Linked DNA regions of Oryzias latipes. The protein of the gene in region 1 binds, or shares a complex with, the protein of each later gene. Links are inferred from orthologs where the notes say so. Each region holds a gene or a part of one and is shown on either strand. Other genes may lie near its edges.

Region 1 (4,494 bases):
TAAACATCCTGATCCAGTTCAGAAAAAAAGTTATTTGTTAACAAAAATCTATTGGAGAAGTAGATTAACTGCAGGTTATTTACAACATATTTGCTAGTTTTGTGGACTCTCTGGAAATAGTTCTCATTATAACTGAGGTTAGCTAAAACTAAAGACCTGATGGTGACATCACACCTTTATGAGGTGAACTGTACTGCCTCCTGCAGGAGAGTCGAGGGAACAGCACCTTCTCTTGTGTCAGTGGAAGATGACAAACTCCCACCCTAACCCCTAACTACTAAAACTATTTAGTGCCCTGGATTTTAAAGAAAATTCAGACACAATGCTCAGTGCTTAATATTTTAAATGGCGAATATGACATAATTGATTTCACAAAGTTAAAATCTAATTCATATGAGCGTTTTGTCACCATTATTTATGAGTCCACTGAGTTCTGAAGATAAAAACATTGATGGTTTAATTAAAAAAATACATTTAAATACATTTTCTTTTGGCAAAAATTGTTCTGATACTATGCATTGTGGTCTATATTCACCGACATAGTGAGCCTTGATGCACACTGGTATTTCACAGAGACTTCTGGTAAATTTCTAGGGCACTGGATTTTGTAATTGTAGATTCAGACAGCTCTACAAAAAGGTGGACGCATTATGCAGTGAGTAGTGAAGGAATTCTGACACACCCCAGCAGCAGCAAAGTTAGAAACAGCTGAGAATGTTAAGTACCTGTAACTTGCAATAGAGGCACTTTATATCCATTTTAAACAGTTTAGGCCATATTCTGTAAAATTGTGCTTTTTACATTCAAGCGCTTTGTTTTTGAGAACTCCACCCACCAAAGACATCTCCATACCAGAATGCTGCTACTGTAACCCAAATATACTTCACTGGATGTAAGGAATTTCTAGTTTAGTGTATAAATATATTGGAAGCTATTTATATTTATTTGATTTTTGGTTGTGAGTGGAGATCATCTCAGTATTTACTTCCAGAACTTTCTTTCACAGAATGTATGTCCACCTTTAATGTTCTGGTCTCGTTTGAAAAAATGTGTTTCTCTGAAGAAAGCAAATAAAATTTGAAATATTTCCTCACTTTTACACAACGTACCAGAGGTTTAGTTATAACTTTACTGCTGTCGGTGGTGGTTCACCTTTCAGCAGATCCCTTCATGGATCGCCTCTGCAAATCCACTTTCATTACTGCTATTTTTGAAGTCCTCAAAGAGAGGAACACCTGCATAGGTGCGCTGCTGACTCACCACTTTGGAGGGGATGTAGGCGTACGGCAGGCTCCTGTCCTCACACATGACCGGTAGGTGGCAGTACACCTCGATGGGCAGAGTGTCGCCAGCTAAAACCACGATCCTGTAGAGCAACGACCAATCAGAAAACCAGCTTGCAAGCAATGAAGTCACTTCTGGTCACGCCCCCTCAGACTAAACACAAAAGACTGAGTCACACGGGTGACTGCGCATGTGCGGGGTCAAAGGTCGAGACCTCAATGGACAGCAGACAAGGTGACCGCTAAGCCAAAACGCAGCCATTACGATACATAACCAAAGACAAAGTACAGGTCCATCGGCAGATGCAGTTTGCCGTTGGTGGGTCAGCTAATGAAAAAATAGCAACAAAAAAACCAAAGCAGCAAATACTAGTAAGAACAGACCGTTCAGTGACATGAGTGAGCAATATTGACATTTCTGTCAGCCATGTTTTAGTTGCTTCCTCACCAACCCAAGAGCCTTTTCAATCACAAGAGGATCGGGTTATTGTTTTCTGTCAATGCAGAGAAGTGGCATTCTGATCTGTCAAAGAAACAGAAGAATGTCGTACGCCTTTAGATAGTCCATATGGAATATTTAAGCCTTCTACTAGTATTATAGATCTGGAATGTTTGAGTACTGCATCATGTGGGCCTAATGTTGAACCAGACAACTGTTATCCAGTCCTCAAGTTGTATCATGTCCAATGCTTCGCATGCATACGTCCTTTTTATCATCGTCTGCTGTGGGGATGAGGCCTCTGCAGCACACCTGTGTCGCAGCACACCTGTGTCGCAGCACACCTGTGTCGCAGCACACCTGTGTCGCAGCACACCTGTGTCGCAGCACATCTGGTGCATCGTCGGGCGCCTTTAGTTCGTTAACTGACCGGGCAGATGGTCCTGTTATTTTAACTTTGAATATGTTTCATCATGGCTAGGGTTAGAGACCATCACCAAGTTTGTCGTCCAATGAGGCCTTGACCTTTGACCCCGCGCATGCGCAGTCATATTTGTGAACTGGCCAACATCACTGAGTCGCTTTGACTAAACCCCAACTAAAACAGAAAAGAACTTGGTTGAAAGGTTTTGCAAAGTTTCTCATCATTAAAGTTCTAAAGAACTGTAGCTCCAGACAATAAAATGAGAAATGAAGAGCAGCACAGAGACAAACGGAAATTATCTGGATTCTAGAGAAAAACAAAGGATCCTATGAGAAGCTTCATCCACCAACATGCTTCTCCTCCTCCTGAGCAGCTCCGGCTCGTTCTAACTCACCCTTTCTCTCCCTTGTTGATGAACTTCTGCACCTCCTTCACTCCTCTGCGGATGTTCTTCACTCTGGCAGCTGAAACCACAAAAATGCTCAATACTGTCCTGGTCCAACCCGGTCCCAGTCGGACCCGGACTGATCCACAACCTGGAAACGTCCCGCACTCGTACCTTTCTTCACGCACTTGTAGAGCTTCTTGCTGAGCTTCCTGGAAGCCAGCGGCTGCGCGATCGGGTTCAGGTTCGCGATCAGTTCGTGATAGGAGCGCTCCGGGACGCCGGCGGGCTCCTCCGCATCCAATTTCTCCTTCTTCACCTTCGTCATTTCCAATCGATGATTTTCTGAGCCGAACGTCTGCTAACAACAACTTAACACGAGGACACCTCACGTGCTCAGCTTCCTCTGCTTCTTTTTTCAGACTACGGCTTATCACAGCGCCGCTAGCGGCCGGGCGGTGAAATGCAGCGTGACGTTTCAAAGTTTACATTCCAAATGACTTTAATTTGCTTCTTTCTTTCAAAAATGAAATTGTGTTTAAGTTCTTGTGGTGTTTTTCTCATGATAGTGAAAATATAAAAAGAAAATTAAGATTAAATGTGTGTTTTTGTGTGTTTCTTCTGTTATTTCTTTATTCAAATTGCTGTGAATCAGGAGTAGATGACAAACTTACAGTGTAAAAAAGCTTGTCGTTACCATTGAGAGTAAAATAAGAACTAGACTGAAAAACACCCCCCCACCCCCTCCGTGTACCAAAAAAGGAAGTACCTGCTGGTCCTAAGAAGGCAAAACCCCATAGACTTCTATTAAGAAATAAACAGCTGTTACTCTGTCATTCTATTGGTCAGAATAACCATTCTGGATCTGATAACTTTTATTAAAATCTTATTGCTAATCCTGATTTTTCTCATGGTATTTTTCCTGTAGTGAAAGTTATCTAAGTTATAAACTGACAAATCAGATGCCTTAATAAAAGTAGCGTCAGAAGTTTGAAACGTTTGATTGACAGACCCTCCCTATCCGCTCTCAGTGGAAAGGGGTGTGGCCTTCTAACAGGCTCACTCCTGATTGGAGAGAGTGGTTGCAACAGAAATGTAGACAAGCCAATCACGGCTTACTGAGGTCATCTGCTTCTCACATGGTGAAGGACATATCGCAGAAAAATGGGGACTGAATTGACTTCAGTTGGTTGCAACCAGAAGCAAGGCATTTTCTATGGATGATATCACACGCCATTTATCCAGTTGTAAATTTAACAGTCAATTGTCAAACAAACTGAAATTGATGGGCCACACGCTATGGGGTCAAATTATATGAAACCCATCAAGACGACTGTTGTTGTGAATTTGGGCTATACAAATAAAATTGAATTGAATTGAAATTAGGATCAGGTAAAAAAAAAAATAACTCAAAAGTACACATTGAAAACGCCAAAAGAAATAATGAAAATTAAAAAAACTTGACCCCTAAGTTTAAACAAGAACTTCAAACCTTAAACTGATACCAAATGAAAAATAATATTTATTTGTTTTGCATTTTCAACGTTTGTTTCCTCTGTTTCTTTCCTCCTTAGCTTTCAGTTTTCACTGAGAGTGCCTAATTTTACTTGGGGGCGGGGCTTTAAGGTCATTGGCTGCGTTTACATGGACAAAAGTAATCGGAATGAACACCTGATCAGAAGAAAAATGCGTCATGTAAACACGCCGTTCGGAATACTCTGCCCCGATCAGACTCGTTTGGATCAAAATTTCTTTCTGATCAAGATAGGTGGGTTATGCCGATTGTTGATCCGATCGTGGTGCATGTAAACGGTTCATTCTGATCATGGGTCACTACTGCTCTGGTTTAACGGCATGCAAGATGGATGTTTCACTCCAGAGACGGCTTTGGAGCTCAAACAGGACCGACCGGCAGCTCCGTGGACGCCCGGTGCGAAGCGCGGACGTCTCTGCGCTCCGCCCT
Region 2 (4,372 bases), on another chromosome or scaffold:
GTTGACAGCAAACATCGTCAACGGCCAAATTAGGGGACATCGCCCAACCCTATGTCTGACTGAGCACAGCTCGGATCGTCAGCACACACAGCGGTTTGAGCTTCAAAGCAGAAATGTCGCTCAGTCCTTAGAAAACATTCAAACAATCACGCGGATTTGTGTTTCCAGTCGTGTCCCGACTAAATAAAGGCTGATGTTATTCTTACATGTTTACGTGCAGCCAGCAAGCAGCACCACCCAAAGCTAATGTTGTTAGCCCGTGTTAGCATACTGCTAATCCTGGCTTCGTTCAGAAAAAGCACTGACCACACGGATTAAAATTCAAATGATGAGCGAACAGGTGTTTCATAATAACCGTAACATTATTAAAGGCACGTTTAGAAGATTGGCTCGTAAATTACTGAGCTGACATGTCAATGTATAAAGCCGCTCGGCGCTGTTTAACATTGTTTTGTATTGAATTGTTACATTCAATAAAGTTTGGAAAAAAAAGCCGCTCGGCGGAAGTTGTATCCCCTTCCGGTTTTCAAACTGCGCATGTGCGAATGATTTATTCCGACCGAAAGTGTGACCTTAGTGAACGTTTTTATATTCTGAAAACATTTTTCTGGGCCCATCTACACGGTTGGATTCTAATCCGACCATTGATCCCATCAAGATATTTTGTACATGTAACCGCGGCTTATGGTGTCGACGCGCAACGTGGCGGGGGCGTGGCATCACGATGGTGGTCTCTCCATCGGGATGTCAGTCACCCATCACGATGGACGATGATATCGTCCATCGGCACAACCCTACCCCTAAGTGAGTTACAGCTGCTCATTTCTCTGTAGAAGTCTATGGAAATTTGGCTTCTTGGAGACAGCGGGAACTTCCTGTTTGGAACTCTACGGGAGAGGAGTCACTCAGTCCAGTTCTCATATACAGTCAACTGTCTAAACAGAGGGAATTGTAAGGAACTGGGTTGAAAAATATGAAGGGTGTCAGTTGGTCTGGACTGAGTCTGCTTAGTTTGGTCCAGATTGAGTCCTGAGCGTTGCATTGGGTCTGTAGTCAGACTGCCTTCAACCGGACATTTCTGTTTCCAACCAACCAAAGCTTGTAAAAAAAAAAACGTGTGACTAAAGATCTCTTCAGTCATTGGCCAGGAATTACGAGGGCAGTCAAAGACTAGTGCACTTTGCAATCCCATTGGTCCAGTGGAGGCTGGCTGTAGGGCGGCTAACGGCAAGAGTCACTGATAAGACTTTATGACATGCAGATGGTCGGGAAAACAGTGAGAAGCAACGTGCGTCACATTAAAAGTTGTTTTAATGAGCCTGCATTTATCCAATCACATTTCAATGAGTTGCTGTGTCTCATCGTCATGGTTACTTCCTTTTCCGTTTACATCCCATACGGAGCGGCTACGGTGGCCATTTTTGGTTCCGTTGTTCCACTCTGGGAACAGACTGTATTCAGACTGAAGAACCTTAGAGTACACCAAAGCTCAGTCCGATTGGAAACGAACTGAGAGACCACCTCCACAGATGGAACCAAGCGGTTCCTGGTCCCGCACCAGGGCCCACTTGGGTTTATTCAGACTGAAAATTTGTTCCAGATTGTCGGGGGAAACGAACTTCTGGTTCACTTTAAGAGAACCAACTGTGTGGAGTCTGAATCCACCCATAGACTGATACTATGGGGTAAGGAATGTGTCAAAAAGAAACGCATTTATGAAGACAAAGTTGTGCGGCTGGTTAGAATCTGGACCAATCAGCAGGCTGTTTGTTGGCACATATGTCACGCTAAACTGAGACTTATGAACGTTAAATCAAAGATAGGGAAACAGCGAAATGAGACGTGTTAAAACGCAAAATTTTTTTTTGAAAGCAGAAAAAAATTTAAGAACTATTTAAGCAACTATTTAATACCTTCACTTGCTACTTAAAAAGTTTTGTTTGCAATGTGTTGGCATAAATATCACTTCATTCTCAAAAAATACGGCAGGACATCGCCATTATAATCTGTTTTTTTTAAACAAAACTATGATAAAGATAATTTCCCTTCTAGAAGATCAATAACATTTCAGAAAGTTTAATTCTGTTTTTAGTTTAATAAACGAGGCTCAACGCGCATGCTCACTCAGTTGAATTGAATATCGGGACTCTGTGTATATGCCAATGACCACATGGCGTATATTTGATACTTTTTTAAAGAAAAAAACAACAACACAATGAACAAAGAAAACACCAAAAGCTGAACTGACAAACGCACCAAAACCATGAGCTCCCATGATGCACCTCGCCCGCTGATTGCTATGGCAGTGGGCGGAAACCGAGTCGTTACAGTAAGAATGCAAACAAATGTTTTACTCCTTACAGTCTTACAAAATAGAGCACACAGATAGCCGCCCGCCGCTTTACAACCGCGGAGTGATCCCGTCAACGAATCCAGTCTTCAGCCGCGTGCGACCGTCCCGTCCCGTGTCCGCTGTGCAAATAGTGCGAGTGTTTAGCTGGCAAACACAGCGACACGACAGGTTGCAGTAACCAGAAACACGCGTGGAACCGTGTCCGGAACTTTAACGCGCCCTGAGGCTCCCCCGGTGCCTCACGCGCTAAAAAAACCGGCTTCGGTGAAAGGATCAGCGAGAGCACGTGCTTCCCGGAGCAGCTCACCGTAAACACGACCGTTTAGGCGCGAAACCACCGCTTTCCAGTGGGTTCTTTACACACCCCGCTCATCTGCTGATAAATAATATGACACGTGGAAAACTATTACCCAAGAAAATAAGATGTAAAGGCAAGAACTTACCTGTTATCGCAGAGGAAATGTCCACGTGACAACACGCGCAAGCGCAGGCTGCCGTAAAGGTTGTCTCTGATGTCGCACAGGAGGTTGCCAGATCAGATCATTTCCCGACAAAACTACGCAGTAAAATCAGTAAAGGCAAACACAACCCGGACTAAACTTCCCCCCACATAAAAAAGCTAAACTAAGACTTTTTAATGGTAATTTACAAAATCAAGATAGATTTATTTTATAAAAATATATAAATCAATAAACTATTAGTTGTCGTCTCCTTTTGAGTGATTTGTTGTTTTTATCAGTCTCTTTTTAATCTTTTGCATTTTCTGTGTGTATTTTCTACACAATTGTTCGTGCGGTTCCTAGTAACTTGAGCTGTATTCATAACTTTTTTTGTGGTATTTGCATCATTTGTTATTTAAAAACACTTAAAAAATTATATTAACAAGAAACTTAGCAAATGCAATAGGAAACCTCTGCTGCTGAGTTACACTACGATTTTCCTCTGACTGCACAACCATGACCAGAAATCCAACTTGCATCTGGATCAGACTTCAGCATGTCATTTTCAGGTGTTTGACTGCTTTAAGGTCTGTCACTGCTTCTTTTCATTTGTGAAGTAGGACTAAACTCAGTTTAATCTTTAAAGTAGAATAATATTGGTTATATTGTGTGGGCTATGTGTGAAAACAAAGATTTCAAACTTGTATATCAGTAATTTTTTTCACAATAAGCCTCACAATAGCTAAAGACTGAAATCAACCCCATGTTCCTTTTGACCTTTAGTTGACTGTAAATGTAAATCAGCACAATAATTTGTGGTTATTTTTTTTTACCTTATTCCATAATTTTACACCTCCAGTTCAATATGTTCAATTTTTTTTTGTTTTAGGTGTTAATTGTTTCTGTAATATTGATAGTTATTTGGATGAATACTTTTTTATGTGTGAATAATATTTTAAAGTAATTCTAAAGTAATTTACTACAGCTCTTTCTAGTGACATCTGGTTAACCAACAAAACTCTTTAAGCATAATTTCTAGAAAAACATTTTTTTAAATTTAAAACAAAACATCAGTTTTGAGAAAAACAGCCTGAATTTGTTCATTTTGCCAACTGCAGATGTGTCCAGCCCAAAGAGTTCCAAAGAAGCGGAAACATGACCGATCTGGCAACCCTTGTCTTCTTTGTGTCATAAGCCGACCTGCCCCGTCCTTAAAGAGACAGACCACTCTGACTTCATCAAAAGTTTCGCCAGACAGACGCTGCTCCAATAGTGGAGATGTTTAAGTGTTTGTTGGCTTTTTAAAATTCTGCTGCGCGGGTAACTATGGCAACAGCTGGTCAGGGAGGAATGCTTTTGTTTTCCGAGAGTGTGTGTGTGAGAGAGAGAGAGGAAAGAGTGTGTGATTGTGTTTGTAACCAGTCGTTGATAGTCACATGCACAAACAGCTGAAGCAGGTGTGCTTTCAGAGGTGCAAGGCAGCTGTTGCCTGGAAGCCCAGGAGATCCCTCACTGTGGAGGAGATGGAGGTTCCCCCACCAAAGACCCATGAAGTCCTGGTCCAGGGGAGGCGTCCTTT

What was found.
Region 2: nhp2 (region 1) and gar1 share a complex: the UniProt entries of both Homo sapiens proteins name them as parts of the H/ACA small nucleolar ribonucleoprotein (H/ACA snoRNP) complex. The link is inferred for Oryzias latipes from reciprocal best matches to the Homo sapiens genes NHP2 and GAR1.

What each region holds. Positions count from the first base shown.
Region 1 is NC_019872.2:3,233,373-3,237,866, forward strand, and holds the start of nhp2 (H/ACA ribonucleoprotein complex subunit 2), read right to left. Parts: upstream 2,964-4,494; 5' UTR 2,860-2,963; coding exon 2,706-2,859; intron 2,611-2,705; coding exon 2,541-2,610; intron 1,367-2,540; coding exon 1,261-1,366; intron 1-1,260. UniProt on the Homo sapiens protein: Required for ribosome biogenesis and telomere maintenance. Part of the H/ACA small nucleolar ribonucleoprotein (H/ACA snoRNP) complex, which catalyzes pseudouridylation of rRNA.
Region 2 is NC_019868.2:3,863,670-3,868,041, forward strand, and holds the start of gar1 (H/ACA ribonucleoprotein complex subunit 1), read right to left. Parts: upstream 2,885-4,372; 5' UTR 2,797-2,884; intron 2,678-2,796; exon of another isoform or gene 2,661-2,677; intron 1-2,660. UniProt on the Homo sapiens protein: Required for ribosome biogenesis and telomere maintenance. Part of the H/ACA small nucleolar ribonucleoprotein (H/ACA snoRNP) complex, which catalyzes pseudouridylation of rRNA.